Linked DNA regions of Danio rerio. The protein of the gene in region 2 purifies or fractionates together with the protein of the main gene of each other region. This does not show direct contact. Links are inferred from orthologs where the notes say so. Each region holds a gene or a part of one and is shown on either strand. Other genes may lie near its edges.

Evidence for each region. The genes of interacting proteins can lie anywhere in the genome.
Region 1: the proteins of gnb1b (region 2) and pfdn5 purify together in Homo sapiens (co-immunoprecipitation; 3 studies listed by BioGRID and IntAct, with this or other methods). This does not show direct contact. The link is inferred for Danio rerio from reciprocal best matches to the Homo sapiens genes GNB1 and PFDN5.

Annotation. Positions count from the first base shown.
Region 1 is NC_133181.1:42,215,187-42,219,459, forward strand, and holds the start of pfdn5 (prefoldin subunit 5), read right to left. Parts: upstream 2,801-4,273; 5' UTR 2,795-2,800; coding exon 2,729-2,794; intron 1,691-2,728; coding exon 1,588-1,690; intron 1,512-1,587; coding exon 1,480-1,511; intron 1,348-1,479; coding exon 1,273-1,347; intron 1,189-1,272; coding exon 1,083-1,188; intron 1-1,082. UniProt on the Homo sapiens protein: Binds specifically to cytosolic chaperonin (c-CPN) and transfers target proteins to it. Binds to nascent polypeptide chain and promotes folding in an environment in which there are many competing pathways for nonnative proteins.
Region 2 is NC_133181.1:56,065,045-56,069,183, reverse strand, and holds the start of gnb1b (guanine nucleotide binding protein (G protein), beta polypeptide 1b), read left to right. Parts: upstream 1-1,335; 5' UTR 1,336-1,614; intron 1,615-4,139. UniProt on the Homo sapiens protein: Guanine nucleotide-binding proteins (G proteins) are involved as a modulator or transducer in various transmembrane signaling systems.

The DNA.
Region 1 (4,273 bases), about 14 Mb from region 2:
TTTAAGAAATATATAGATAAATAAAACTTATGCAATCTGCACTCCGAAATAAGTACAAAGACTGCCACCTGGTGGTTCAAAGAGAAAATGTATTGATATGAACTTTTTAAATACAATGCAAATGCACAATATTCAACTTTTTTAAAAAAAGGATACTGATTTATGCAGTCATGCACATGTTGTGATCGCCAATATGCCGGTGATATGTTGCTTCACAAAAGTTGCAGACACCTTCACCTTTATCAAAATGCTTTTTTGATGGAAAATTAATTCATACAGTTATTCCTTACTCCAATTAAAAAAAACTTGAGTAGGCCTAAGCTACTATAATAAAGAAAATCTTCTCTAAATGTAGAACTAAATACATTGATATGCTTTAAAATACATAATGAATACTCTTGACACATGAAAGTGTTAAGCCTGCAGCTCACAACAAACCGTTTACTGCTTGTTTGATGTAATTTTGCTCACATGGATAATTGAATATTATTCAGATGATGTCATTACGCTGCTGTGCCGTCAGCCAATCGTTGCATTGCTGATCATGATTTCGAGGATCGATGGATCTGTCCTTCACAACACATGCAGCGATCTCAGATCAGTTTATCCAGACATTCTAATCGGATTCGCAAACTTGTTTGAAGAACCAAATTAGCCAGAGATCAGTTATCAAGATGAAAAGATCCAGGATCTGCCAAATCATCTTATATCATTTAAGCGAGGTACGAAGAACGGACCCCAGATCTATTTTCAGTTGTTAGACACCCACATGAAAATATACGACAGTAATCTATAGTAAATAAAATTGTGATTTTTAACCATACTGACATCTCCAATAGATAGAGATGTTGCACAAACACCTAAAATATTGCCAGAATTGGTCTTTATGTATGTGTGATTTATATTGCATCACCAAAAATGATTGAGGTCATGTCCATGTGTTGTACGCTCAGTCGTTATATTGATTATTGTGACAGGCTTACTTGAAAATAGTGAAAAAAGAAATACAATAAAAATGTACTGTATTTTTATCAGCTATGGTGAACATAAGAAACATGTTTTTCAAAAGACAAGAAAATCACCTTGTTTCATGGCATATTTTTCTTGAAGAGCAGGCTGAATCTTTTCAATTTGTTTAGTAAGGAAGTCGATTTTGCGTTTAAAGAACTCTTTGCCGTCCTCTACATTCTGAAAAGACAGAAAAGGCAATGTGATTTACTCAGTTTTGACATTTTTACATATACTAAAACTACTAGACTGATTCTTACTCACCTTCTCCACAAAATAACCTGTTCCCACATCCACTAACACATGATCCACATCATGCAGCTTTCCAGGTACATACATCTACATGACTGAGGTTAAGGGAATAACGGACCACTGCAAATTAATTACACACACATCAAACTGTCTGTGTGACTTTCTTATGTGGCATAAATCAATCAGAACTCATTTATAACTCAGCTGTTTAGAGGATACAGAACTGGTGAGAGGGACGAGTAGTTCTTTACCTGAGAGAAAAAGTAAAAAAAAATTAGCAAACGTCAGATTTAGCTAAAAACGTCATAAAAGAGTTTTAAAAGTCACCTTCATTGCTCTTGTTAAGCACATTCAAACTGTCTTTGGCCTCCACATATTTTGTTTGGACGACTTTCAGCTGAGCTATAGACGATGACAGGAACTCTGTTTCCTAGAAAACACATTTTTAAGCAATTTATACAAAATAACGTGTAAATCTACCTTGAGATGTCCCTTTTTGGTGTCTCAAAGTAAATTAACATTATTGCATTTATATTCACAGAAAGCACACTGAACGCAAGCAAAGTGTTAACTTAAATGTTTCAAATAACTTTTGTAAAAATAAAATCAAAAAATGAGTGAAAATCTATCAAATAATTAACAATAATAATAATTTAGGAAATAATGTCAGGGTAATTCAGAGCAACATATATATTTATTTAAAAATGGGAAAAACATAGTACTTATTCTGTACTAGGTATGGGGCGATAACTGTTTGCAAGGTAAACCGGCAAGGTTTGGAATAGTCAAGGTTTTAAACCTTAAAAGTAAAAATTAGTAAAATAAAGGGTTTGAAGGATAGTGACAAATTATGCATGTTTAAAAAAAGAAAAATAATTAGAATTTGGGAGCTACAGTTCAACCTTTAAATAGTTAAATGCCATCAAAATAATCTTGGTCTAAAAATATGGCTGCCCAGAATTTTTAATATATATAAACTATTGTTATGACATTTTTGTTGGGGTCTTCTGTAAAATACAGTAAAATAAATATGACGGTCAAAATAAAACAGATAATCAGGACACATGTAAACTTCAAAAGTTTACTCACAGAAAAACAAAATTAGTCTTTTAAATTAATCTTATACAGATTATAGACTTGGTACCAAAATATATTTCAAACTGTGAACTCGTTAAAATAAAACCAAGTTGTGTTTAGTGAGAACTGACTGAGACACCATTCACATACAATGCAAGTGAACGTCGATAAAGTCATTCTGCATCTCATTTTCTGTCATACGGAATAAATGCAGCCATGTGGACAATCATAGAGGGCTTTTTTTCCGCATTACCAGCAGCAGCAGCACGCGCACAGACAGCATGACAACCGCAGCCCGTCAGTAAATTAATTCACTGACAGAAAAACAGCAGCACCTGATGCTACTCGGACATACGAAACGATGATGTTTTTTATTTTTAACACAATTTACCTGATCAAGCTGAGTTTTCAAGCCTTCTAATTGTGGAAGAGACAATTCAGTGAGATTCACCGCCATGTTGACAATAAAAGAGGGTGAGGAAAACTTCCGGGTCAAGCGGACGCAACTAAAAGGACTTTTACCATTGATTTTTTTCCATTACACACTACAGTCATTTGTTATACTTTAACAAATAAAACGTCGACTAAATAAACTAACAGTGCATTTATACAGCATGTATTAACATTACCTTAAAAAAAAAGGGAGATGACCAGCTAAAACCAGCTTGACCAGCCTAGCCAAGCTGGGAGTCCAGCCAAAACCAGCTATATCCAGCTTAAACCAGGCTGGGCAAGCTGGTTTTAGTTGGATTTGGCTGGTCATTTTCCAGCCTGACCAGCTAAGACCAGGCTGGAAATGGCTGGAAACTAGCCTGGAAATGGCCAAAACCCCTCTAAAACCAGGCTGGTCAACTGATTTTTCAGTAGGGAATGTATTTGATTAGTATGTAAACATGAGTAAATCCTTATTAATCAATTAACAAACTATTCATTGTCAATGCATGTGGTGCACAAATTTCAACTATTTTAAGCCTCATTGTTAAGTATTAGAATAGGTTTGTATTTCAGTAGACATTGAACACTAAAAATACACACCAGTTAAAAAGTGAAGAAAATGTACACAGCTCAAATCCTTATAAAGCTCATGGGCATTCATTAATGTTTGTGTGTGTATGTGTGTGTTTGCCTTTATGTGTTTGGTATTGTCCTGAGTTTTCTCCAACAGGAGTAGTGTGTATTTTACAAAAGCAGAAAATCTCATCTGAAACACTAACTCATGACAGGAAGTCCGTAACACTTGTTTAAATTAATATTTCATTTTTTCAGATTCACCATTAAACCTGGCCGTTCAGCACATAAGAATCACATCAGATCAGGTACGTCAGATATTTGTACGTCTCTGAAAACGCTGTCCCTGACATTTTGAAGACTTATGGGAACACCGATTTCAGTGTTTACAGTCCTTGTTGCCTGTCGGTTTATCCATCAGTCTGCAGTGACAGATGACCAATTCATGTTTTTCCTCCATGTGTACTCCTTTACTAGCACATCCCTCATTTCAGTTAACCCCTGTGTGCTGTTGAGGGTGTTTTCATCCACTCTGGGGTGATTTTGTGTCTTCATTTGGTCAACTTTTTCTGTTTCAACTAGCAGAACGACTTTGGCGACAAATTTAATTTTGACACGTTTTTGGAAAATGCTTTGACATTTTTAAAGAACTTAACGATACACTCTGGGCAATTTTGCTACCCTTTTGTTATGTTTGGGATGAAAACCTCCACTAATTTAAACTGCTGTAAAAATGCATCAGATAAATATGTTTTCCCATAAATCTGTTAATCAACCTCAGTCCCGATCAAAACTACTAAACTGTTTAGGAAATTACAGTTTAAATTCCTAATTACCAAATTCATAAATCTGTCACTGATTGGTGGAAAAACACACAAAATGACGTATTTTCAATACAAAAAGTAATCGTGGACTGGATTTTTTTTAA
Region 2 (4,139 bases):
ATTATGTACATTAAGTATTTTTCCAGCAATTGGGATGTCTTAAACTTTAGTATTACTCTGTATAGAAGTGAGGGAATCATAAAATTATTTAGATCAATGAAGAATAGTTTACACTTTAATACAGTCAGCATACATTTTGTTTTGCGGATGTGATACTTTCCAAATAAAATAAGATTTTTTTTGTTATTTTGTCCATTTCCCAGAGTTGCAGTCCATAAATAAAACCATTTTATCAGTTATATTGATAAATTTACAATACACTTCAAAAAGTAGTGAGAAAACTTGGGACCAAAGCCGTTTTGTGTAACTGCAACTGAAAAATTAATGAAGAATTGTTTCCAGTTCCATTTTACAAAAACAACACAAAGGTGAAAAACCTTCCTTAAACCTACTAATAAAACCATTGCATGGATAATATCTATGTAATATTTTACAAATAGTTTATTTTACTTTATTGGGAAGTATGTATTTTGTAAAATCTGACCAGAGTTTTGGGGGAAAAGAATGAAGGGAATGCTTGTTTCCATTTAACCATTGCTATTAGAGGAACACTTTTATCTGCAGTCAGGATTTTCCTGATATAATTGTTATTCAGTTTTTTATCCATGATAGAGAGGCCCTTAATAGTAAGCTCTGGAAGAGAGCCAGATACATGGTTATATATTTTTGTGGTTTTAATAAGGTACATTTATTTTAGGGAGATACAATGAACACATTTTTTTTTGTATTTATTCAAAGTATTTTTTTAAACCAAAAGTGTTAATAAATTCACTGTAATTATATAAGTCCCCTACACGATTTCTCAAAACAACATTAGCACTATTAACATCAACACTGTTGGACTACTTTGATAGTCATTGGCTGCGAATATGATTTAACTATTCAGAATTAGCAAACAATACTTTTCTCAAATGATTTTGTTAATATAATTATTATTATAAATCTCTAAATTTGCACTTGTGCCTATATCAAAATCTCACTTCAAACAAAGTACAGCTAAACCTATAGAGAAAAACCTGTTCTGTAGTAAATTGTGACAAAGCCTCGGTCTTCTCCATAAAGTCTTTGCTCAGGTTAATCTATTAATGGAATATGGGTTGTATAATATTTTTAAAAACGTTAAGCATTTTAAAAAGTACATCAGTGTATTCAAATCTTGCTAAATTGGCTTGGAAATGTTTCTGTCAATTCCATTCCTGCGTAAGAGCGCCGCTCGCCCGTGCGCTGCGGCGTGGGGTTTCCCAGGGCAGACTGCAGGGTTACCGCGCCCATCTCCGTCTGATGGCCGGATGAGAGGTGAACTGAACTGGAGAGAAGTGTTCCTTCAAGGAAGGCAACGGGAAGTGGCCACCGACGGACTTATTAGCTGACCAAAGTCTCCAATCGGACATTTATGAGTGCAGCTTTTCCTCGCAGTTGAGATCCCCCCTCGTACAGGCTCATTTCCCGCCCGCCGGAGCGAGTTTTGTCGCTGTGGAAGTGGACTCGGTACTTCTCCCGCTGCTAGTTAGCGAGCTAGCTCGTCTTGTTCGTTGATGCGTGGATTTGACAGCCACACCATCGTTTTTTTCGGTCAATGCCATATAAACAAAGGCCATTTACGACTGAGAACAGGTATGGAACACTATGTGCTTATTTCAAGTGTGTGGAACTGAATGTTTCGTTCTAATCGGGTGAATTTGTTGGATAAAATGCTGGTCACCATAGAGAATGAAGGGGGGTGGGGTGAGGCGCAGGTAGCGGCTAGCCGAGCGATTTACATACACAACAGTGGCAGGCAAATATGCGAAAAACGGTTGTTTTAAACAGTTATCATCGTGTGTGTTTTATTAATGTGAATTTATAGTGCATTTAATCTCTCGCTCGGTCATTATGGCGTGAACTGAGTCGGCCGACTTAACCGGAGGCCGTTTAGTGCGAGTTCGCTTGTTAGCACCCAAAAATCGGCGTTACTTCAGAATTAAACCAATTTAGGTTTGGGGGAATTCAGTAATGTGCTTGATAGGGGCATTTTAATAGCAATTAAGATTGCTTTAAATGTTAAGTTTGGGGGGTTTTGGTTGGAGGCTGGTCTGTAAGCTAACAGGCTAATTACCGGAGCTTCTGCTGGCAAAATATTCGGCTTTTCAGCTCAGCTAGGCCTTCCTCTGTGTTACAGAATCGAGGATTTTTGGTTAGGCAAATGCTGGTTTACACACTCTCGTGTACTACAAGTGAATATTGATCGAAATGCAGTCGGTAAATAAAGATTAGCCATTTATTTGTTCACCCGATCGTCTATTGCAATCTACACCATCTGGCTGTATATTACAAGCCGTCCTAGTGTGTTTTCCCCTACACACATTTACATGGAGATGGATTTATTACGAGTCAGAATGGCGTAATCCGAAATCCCGTGTGCATTTAAGCGACTTAGCTCGTGTTAATGTTTATTGCGTTAAGTGTGCGCTGCTTCTTTTAACTACTCTTTTAAACAACCTAATTGGATTTCATTAAGCCTGTGTTTAAAGGGCCTTTGCTGTTCAGGTATATAGGTGCACTGCCTCTCTTCGCGACATCTCGGTGATGCTCCGCTACGATTCTCGCTGAATTGCTTTTGCTGACGATAAAGAATAAAAGACCTGCTAGATGTGTTTTCTCCTGCGATCGTGTATCAGAGTAATGCAGCAAAGAGCTTTGCAGTTCTTCAGATACGCGAAATGAATGGAGCCGGATGGCCTTTATCATCGCTGCTGGAATATTTTAAGAACGGGCTAGCGGCTCAGTATTGAGGTCACTATTAAGGGATTGGTCGGGGAAATATAGGCTATGGGATAAATATGTTGCGCCCCCTCCTTCTTTTTTCCCCTACCGATCGAGTTTGCCTTTCTCTTCGCTGGCATTTAGATAAAGGAACACCGTTCATGAATAAATAAACGGAATCAATGAATTCTTCAATGTGGGGCCCAAGAACAAGATGGCGTCCGTAGCCTCTCTCTCCGGCTTCCCTCTCCGCACTCATATCAGCATGCCGTTCATTTAACCCGCTGAAACGCCGAAAAAAGCACCGTTTTGCTCTTAAACGAAGCTCGTTGTTTTAAAAACGATTCCAGGAACATATTTTGAAGCTAGAGTTTATCGTTTTTTTTTAAATAAAATGCTCTTTGTGTGGCACCTAAAGCTGCATAACCTCATCCTTTATGACGCGAAATGCAATTGTGAAATATCAAATAGTGTTTCGAGTCCACCGTGACGTGATCGTTCACATTTTGTTGATTTCAACTTGTGCTTCTGGTGCTATAAATGTAGACATTTCTTTGCAGTCATGCACATAAGCTCTCACAATACCCTTTTGTGTTTAGATAATGCACTTTTGTTTGATTTTATTTTAAAACAAAAGCATAATGGATGATTCATTGCATACATTGTTGTTTTTAACTCCCTCCCAGACATCCTGCTTTTTATGCACCTAAGTTGGTTCTTTGCTTATCATGTTTATTATAGTCATTGTTCATGTTTTACTCGGCAGTGTTACATTTGCTGAAGCATTACTTGTAATCCATTTGCATTATACATTGTGCAATCTGCATTGATACACATGCAGTTTTGTAATTGTGGATAACTAAAAGCATCAGATTGATTCGCAGTGGGCACCTCAGAAGCTGATATGTGTATAATTATGATGGAATAATTGAAATCTATTCAGATAATGTAATTCTGAATATCTATTTTGATTTTCAAACTAACGCCCATTTGTTTTCGCAGGTGTTTTAATGCAAGCATGTTGAGATTTGAGCATTTCCATGTAAATGTCAGCCTTGTCATGAAAAAACTAAGCTTCAACCAAAATAACGAAACTGTTTCTACATTTTTGGTGTTGGCAAATACTTTGCAGTGCTTACACTACTCAAAAATCTCTCTGTCAATGTTTTCAAACTATTATATTTGATTTAGCAAAGTCACACAAGTGGCAATTTCACATCTGCCACATCCATAACTTTCATCTCATAAATGCAAAAATCTAAGGTAAAATAAGTCATGTTTGCTCTGTAGAGGAACAACTCTTATCCTTTTAATTAGCATTGTTTCTTTTGGGTTGCTTTGTTTAATTCATAGAATTTCTATAAAGTATGTTGTATACTGCAAACTTGCAGACTTTT